Pelodiscus sinensis: one gene and its partner. The protein of the gene in region 1 purifies or fractionates together with the protein of each later gene. This does not show direct contact. Links are inferred from orthologs where the notes say so. Each region holds a gene or a part of one and is shown in the gene's direction. Other genes may lie near its edges.

What was found.
Region 2: the proteins of RNF13 (region 1) and AP3D1 purify together in Homo sapiens (affinity purification with mass spectrometry; 3 studies listed by BioGRID and IntAct, counting the BioPlex papers as one, with this or other methods). This does not show direct contact. The link is inferred for Pelodiscus sinensis from reciprocal best matches to the Homo sapiens genes RNF13 and AP3D1.

What each region holds. Positions count from the first base shown.
Region 1 is NC_134720.1:26,050,210-26,053,954, forward strand, and holds the start of RNF13 (E3 ubiquitin-protein ligase RNF13), read left to right. Parts: upstream 1-1,225; 5' UTR 1,226-1,385; intron 1,386-3,745. Other genes in the region: protein ANKUB1, read right to left, coding at 810-956. UniProt on the Homo sapiens protein: E3 ubiquitin-protein ligase that regulates cell proliferation. Involved in apoptosis regulation. Mediates ER stress-induced activation of JNK signaling pathway and apoptosis by promoting ERN1 activation and splicing of XBP1 mRNA.
Region 2 is NC_134729.1:27,439,789-27,443,533, forward strand, and holds the start of AP3D1 (AP-3 complex subunit delta-1), read left to right. Parts: upstream 1-804; 5' UTR 805-1,023; coding exon 1,024-1,119; intron 1,120-3,745. UniProt on the Homo sapiens protein: Part of the AP-3 complex, an adaptor-related complex which is not clathrin-associated. The complex is associated with the Golgi region as well as more peripheral structures.

The sequences.
Region 1 (3,745 bases):
CTTCCACCCTGGAAGGGACTTTTCCCTTCCCTTTATTGTCAACAAAGATCTAGCATGAACTCTGCTGTTTGGTTGAGAGAACTGGGTTCCACTAGTATTCCACAATGCTGACCTAATAGCTCTGTGCAGTGTTTTGTGATCTCTTCTAAGGATGTAAGAGACTAGTTGACTATCCCAGTACCATCTCTGAGGAGGGCAGGAGAGGTCGAGGCACAGTGGGAAACAGCGTATGCGGGAACTGAAGTAGTCTGTTTGTTCTGCTTCTGCTGCAATTTTGCTTTTGGAATGTACAGATGCTTGCATGCAGGGAGTACAAGGCCAGCAGAGGAATCCCTGTTAGCCCCACCACCCTGCAGGGCTCTTGCTACAGTTCAAAGGCCAGATACCCTTATAGACTAATCAAATGGTTGATAAAAAGCCTATCAACTATTCAATTAGTTAATTAATCTAAATTTAACATCCCTAATCTCTGCTGCCTGGCAAGCATGCCCTTTTCAAAATTTCAGGAAGTATCTGACAGCTGAGTGAGTTGCTCCATTTGGGGACCAAAGAACCAATCCTTGGAATGCTTCTGTTCTACCTGCTGCTGGAGGAGGAGGGCAGGTGAAACCACTGTGCTGCTTTGACATGCCTCACACACACACAAAGCAGCTCTGGCTTCCCACAACACTGCACTGTGGGATGCTTATGTCAACAGGCTGCTAGTAATGTGGCCCTGGACTGCCCACAACAGGAAGCAGAAAACCTGGGTTGAAGGCCTGGTTTTCACTTTCGGCGATTTTTGCACGGCCACACGTCTCTTGACAAACCTTCCCAGCGTGGAGACAGCCCGAGCTGTGCGCCTCGCGTTCCAGGCATTGCCACGGGCCGCCCACACACCAGGCTGGCCAAGGCCGACAGGGAACAGCCCAGGCAGCCACTGCTGTCAGGACACGGGAACAACGGCCGCCCCACATCCCTGCTGGGGGGGGAGGGGGGAGCTGTTGAGCCTCTCAACTCATCCCGCCAGACATCTCCCTCCGCCTCCCCGCAGCCGGGACTCCCTGCGCAGCACCTGGCCGGCAGCAATCCTCAGCCTCCTCCGCCAGCGACTGCTCCGAGTCCCAGAACCCGCTCGGCGCCTCTCGTCTCCGCCCCCAGCTCCGCGCCCACCAGTTCCGCCCCAGCCAGCATCACGTGTCGTTGGCCTACGTGCGGCCCTACTGGGGATCCGCCGGTGAGTGACGTCAAACGAGCAAATCGCTGCGCCCGCGCCGGCCGCCTCAGCCTATGACGGGGCCCGGGGCGGGACTTCTGCCGCGCTCCGGCTGCGCGTCTGTCGGCTGACGGGACAAACCCATTTGTCATGGAGTCGCTGTAGATTGGTCTCTGCGCTCGGCCCGCAGGTAAGAGCTGCCTTTGCCGCGGTCGGTGATGTGGGGAAAGGGGCGGGCGGCGCTTGGGCCTCCCGGCCTGCGCAGCCGCCTCGCTGGCCCCTGCCTGGGCTTGTGGGCGCTGATGGACCCGTTGCGGGTCCGGGGCTGCGAGCTGGTGTTGCGCATCGAAGCCGAGCTCCGAGCGGTCTCCCCCCCAGGCAGGGATGCTGGCAGCCCACCCGCTGGAGCGGTTGCTCACTTTTACTTCAGCTTCCCTTCCCTCCCCCAGCCTGGAGCGAGCGCAGGGGAAGCAGAAGAGAAGAACGAGCGAGAAGAATCAAATGATGCCAAAGCGCCCCTGATTACACCTACAGCCCGGGTGGGGGTCCGCGTCTGTGGGTCTTGCGTGTGGTTTTCTTCAGAGCTGCCTGGCTCGGGATGCCGCCCCTACTTATGATGTAGTGATCATCTGTGCTCTTCCTGAGGGCATTTCTCAGCTGTGAAAGGGGAAGCAGGTCCTGGCTGTATAGTCTCACTTAGTGCCACCAAAACTATTAATAAAGCGATCCAGACAAACTGGTTGGGATGTACAGACTCTTTTCTGTCTAGCCCAATCCATGCTTTGGTCAACAAAATTCTGACAGTGAGAACTGAGTGTTTACCATTCTTCACAGCTATTCCCTTGTTAGGCCCCTGGTGCTTTTTTAAGTTTTCACACCCTACAAAGTGGGGAGTCAGGCTTCATTCTGGGGCTGATCTGGCTATAATGCAGATTCAGATCTGATGCAGTGTGATAAAAATCGATGCACTGAAATGCTGGAGGGAGACTCTAAGAATATTATTAACATTAAGTAGCTAAGATCAGTTGTCCTCTACTCATGAAATTGTAAAACCAAGAAGCCACCGGGAGCTTTTTAAGAGCAATTAGAATATAAATGAAATAAGTGTTCTAGATACTTACTGTTTCTAAATATTTTCTTTACTAACCATGAATAGCAGCAGAATTTACCAAAATGCACACTGAATTACAAAGCTATAGACAATGGGACAAATGCCTGGTGTAAGGTTGCTTAAGTTGAATTATGTCAGTGATGAATTTGTTCAAATATTAGCCAGTTCACTTAATGATTTTTCATGATGTGTGTACATGTAAGTATTTTTATCCTTCCCTCTGTGGTAAACTGAGGTAATAGGAGAAGGACTTATTTTAACGGGGAGGTCTTAGTCTGTGGCCCATGCTTTTAATAGCTAGTCCCTTGGACCAACCGCTCCTCTTTACAGACCTTCTCCACTCCCATTAGCACATTTAAGGGGGGAGGGATAGCTTAGTGGTTTGAGCATTGGCCTGCTAAACCCAAGGTTGTGAGTTTAATCTTTGCGGAGGTGATTTTGGGCAAAAATTTGTCAGGGATGGTACTTGGTCCTGCTGTGAAGGTAGGGGACTGGACTCAATGACCTTTCAAGGTCCCTTCCAGTTCTAGGAGATAGGCAATCTCCATTTATTTATTTAAAATTTACAGAGTTCCCTTCCTGTTTATAGCTTCCCTGTTGCAACTACAGCAATTGCTTACATGAAAATTAATATTAGGAAGATATTTGTTTCATAATTATCCGTAACGTAACCTAGTAGGTTTGAATAAGAAAAGCAGATAGTTCTTTGCCACCCACAGTACGCACCATGGGGAGCACCAGTGGCTTCTGAATGCTGATTTATATGAATATTAGAAGACTTACTTGGCATTGCCTGGGCCCTTCAGAGTAGGGGATTGGCGGTGTGGGGGATGTGGAGGGCAGGGCAGGAGGCTGGGGGGTGTGCAAGAGTGAGGGTTTGGGGAAGAGAAGGGGCTCAGGGTGGGAGGGGGTTCCATTTGGGGGACTGTCTTCCTTCCCCTCAGTACAGCAACCAAGGGCCAGGGAAGAGGGGTTTGAGGCAGGGGTGCTATTTACTCCTTGAACAGCAGTGCCTTCCCTTTCCGTGTTCTGGAAAATAGTCCCATTCCTGGCCCTTCCTGTTTTCCTGACACAAGTGCTGTCTTGCTTTAAGTTAGGGTAAGAGGAAGCTGAATACCGAATTTGGTGGCCCTACCTCTTATTGTTTAGGAGGAGTTCTTGAACAAACAGATTCACAGACAGACTCATTCCCTAATAGAGAACAGCTCATCTACAATTATGCCTTCTGTAAATGCTGCAGTATTCTATGTTTGGTAAAGGGAGATTATGCAGAGGTTCCATTCACGATAAGGATAAACTGTTTGCTTGAGGCTACGTCTATACTACCGCAGAAAGTTGAACTAAGGTATGCAACTCCAGCTGTGTGAATAGCATCTTTTGAAGCTTCTGCAGGCAAATCTCCCAGTGATTTGGGATGCAGGACTGCAGGTTCTGTAATG
Region 2 (3,745 bases), on another chromosome or scaffold:
TACTGTGGCATCCAAGCTGCTCAGCAAAGCTGCTGCTACTTCCGCGCCCGCTAGAGTTGTGTACATCTGTGTCTTTTACACGCTTGGGCTTTGTCTACACGCAGGGTTTCTGCATAAGAAGCGTTTTACAGAAGAGCGTTTTGCCAGATGAACAGTGGCAATGTTCCCTCTCATTTTTTCCACCCATGCATGGAATAAATTTTGTTCTCTGCACTGGGACCTGTGTGGATGTGCACCATCAGTAGAAACAGGGGCTGCCGGAGGCGTGTGACTCTCTCCCGGCGGGCCGCCCCGTGCTGAGCGTAGGGTGGTACCGGGCAGTCACAGCAAAGCGTCCACGGGCTCAGTTTCCCTGCAGCAGTGCGGGGGAGGGGGGGTGGGGGCTGCAGCATCCCCGCCTCACTGGGCATTAAGGGCCCCGAGTCAGCAGAGCACGTGCTCGAGGCCGGCCCTGTCGAGCGCATAGCGGGGCCGCTCAGCTTGTTGGGGGTGGGGCCCTTGCGGGGTGCAGGGGGAGGGGAGAGCCACTCCCCAACCCCTCCCCCACAGGCTGCTGGCAGCCCCGGGCGGGTGACGTGGAAGGCGCCGCCGGGAATCACGGCCGGGGGCGGGAGGGGCGGGCTCAGAGGAGGAGAAATGGGCGGGGCTCTGGGCCACAGGGGCGGAGCCAGAGGGAGCGGTGACGCGGCCTCGGCGGGAGTGGGCGGGGCCAGGGGCGAGGTGGGCGGAGACACGGGCGGGGCTGGCGCCGGGCGGGGGCGTGGCCCGGCGTGCGGCGGCCGGGAGGGGGAGGGGCCGAGCCCTCAGCTGACCGGCCGCCATTTTGTCAGGCGCTGGGCTGAGCGGAGACCGGAGATTCCCGCCGCCGCCGCCGCCTGAGCCCCCGGGGCGCGCGCCGCCTGGCCCCGCGCGGGATGTGAGCGGCCCGGCCCCGCCCCGCCCGGACACGCTCGGCAGCGGCCCCGCCGCCCGCCCCCCCCCCCGGCCCCGCCGCCCAGCGCAGGCCCCGCCGGCCCCGCCGCGATGGCGCTGAAGATGGTGAAGGGCAGCATCGACCGCATGTTCGACAAGAACCTGCAGGACCTGGTGCGCGGCATCCGCAACCACAAGGAGGACGAGGTGGGCCGGGGCGCCGGGCCGGGGGGCTGGGGGGGGAAGGAGCCTGGGGGCCTGATGAGGGGGCTGGGGGTTGGTGGGAGAAGAGGGGCTGAGGGGGGAGGGGAATGGATGGGGGAAGGGTCCTGGGGGCCTAATGGAGGGGGCTGGGGGTTGATGGAAGAAGAGGGGCTGAGGGGGGTGGGGGATTGATGGGAGAAGGGGCCTGATGGGGGAAGGAGCCTGGGGGCCTGATGGGGGGGCGGTCTGGGGGTTGATGGGAGAAGAGGGTCTGAGGGGGGAGGTTCTGGGGATTAATGGGGGGGCTGATAGGAGAGGTGGGTTGGTGGGGGACTTGGGGGTTGATGGGGGAGGGGGGCTGAGGAGGGCAATGTAGGACCAGGTGGGAGTTGCGAGAAGGGGAGTGGGTAGGGGGCAAAATTCTCACAATAGGAGCTGCGGGGGAGGGAGGTACCTTGGGAGCAGTCTGAAGTACAGTGCCCTGCCCCATAGAGAGCCAAGGGCTTCCTTAGATCTAACCCCAGACCTTTGCCTTCTAGGTTCTGCGGGGTAGGTGGCCGCTCCTCTCCTTTCACTGTGGGACCCCCATAGGATTTTGGGGGTGGGTGGCAGCTCCCTTCTCCTATCTCTTTGTGGGGGCTGCGTCCCCCTGTAGGCTTTGGGGGGAGTATGATGTCTATCTCCACTTGAGACCAGGGCTGCCCACAAGGGAACAAGAATCTAGTGGAGAAACTATCTTGTTTTGTCTCTTGTGGTGGGGGTGATTCGGGTCTTCTGCCCCTCTGTGGGCTGTGTATAAGCCTGAGGCTTTTTCTCATCTCGACCCCACATCAAAATAAAAGGTGCCTCTGTTGCTGAAAAGGGGATGTTGTCAGTGGGAAAGTGCAAGCAGTAATGAAAAATGAGGAAGAAGATTCTTGTCCAGGCTAAGCCAAAAGGGAGAGCATTCAAGGAAGCAGGCAGTGGGGTAAGAAAATTAAAAGGGAGGAGAAAGATCTGGCATATGGGAAATTTTTGTTGTTGATATCATGTTAGTGTTGGGGGAGCTAGCCTTGGTTATTTACAGCCTGTGATTTGTAAGTTAAAGGAATTCCTGTCTGATGTCTTAATGAAGTAAGTGACTATTTTCTAGGGTAAGATTGAAGCATAAGAAAATCAAGTTCAAGCATAATTAAGCTTTTTCGTTAGTCATTCAGTTTAGCTTATGTCTAACCACATTTTCAGAAACGTTAATATATAGGCTTATTTAAGGTAGAAACTGAAAGCACTTGAATGTCACCACCTGATATATTCTACTATATTATTTGAGTTAGATGGAAAGTGTGTAATTATTAGTCCAGAACTGGTTTACTTCAGAAGTTAGAATTCTTTTATCAGTTGTTGTCACGTGGTAACTGATCAGGAAGTCCTTGGAGTCTTGGCACAAGTAAACTTGGTATTGGAAACTTTTATATGAACAACTTTCTTAATTATCTTTTTGACAGAATATTAGTAACTCAATGAGAGTTTAGTGCGATAATGCTGCCACAGGTTGGTAAGATAGAACATAGCATCACAGTTATCAACTGTGGAAGGGATTAAGAAACAAATGTAGACATTGGTTGCTAGAACAAATAATTCGGTTGTAAAACTCATTTGTGTTGCATGTTTTTTATCACGGCTGCTCTCAGGCCAAAATGCAGTGTTGCTTTCCAACAGACATTCAACTTTCCAAATAGCTTTAGATTTGGATATTACACACTGATGCTCCACAGTATTAGGCAGTATTCCATAGAACCACATACCAGGAAAAACTACTCAGTCTTAAACTACATAATGTAGTTTAAAGGTGATTTGGTATTGGTTTGGTGGCCTAGGAAGATGTAGCTGTTTTCAAGGACTAAGTGCCCCCCACCCCAAAAAATAAGTTCTGAGCAGCGTGTAGGATTTTATGAAAGAGACAGTTTTTGTTAAATATGAAAAACTATTTACAAATGTTTATGTGCATGTTTGTTGTGAAGGTGATGATATGTATATTAACTTCTTGTAGTTCATGCTAGGGATATGAAAGAGTAGTCAAATAGTTGACTACTTAATAAGCCTAGGAGTCGACTACTCATGTTTCCCCCCCCTTGCTGCCACTTTATCAGAGACAGCAAGGACGGGGGGGGGGGGGTGACACAGGAGCTGGTGCCGGCGGAGCCAGCTCAAAATCCAGTTCTCTCTCCCCCTCACCTCCCCCGCACTGTTTTTGTGGTGCTGGGGGCAGGGGACACAGAGGCGCTGTGGGCTCTTACTATATGTAAAAGGGAGAGGCAAGGCACGGGACTCGCCATGAGCGGGGACTTCCCGGCAGCTCTTACTACATCTAAAAGGCAGAGCCGCAGTGGGGTTAGCTTCTGGGGCTGGTGCGAACTGGGACTGTTTAGTCCTGGCGCTCACTGCTCCCAGGAGCTCGCTCCACTGTGGCTCTGCAGTTTAAATGTAGTAGGAGCTGGACTGCTGCATGCCCAGCTCCTATTACATTAAAACTGCAGAGCTGCAGCGGGGGGTAGTGAGCGCCCCCCATATCGACTAATCACATAGTTGATGGCAATTCCATCGACTGCTCGATTAGCTGATTAATCACAATTTAACATCCCTAGTTCTT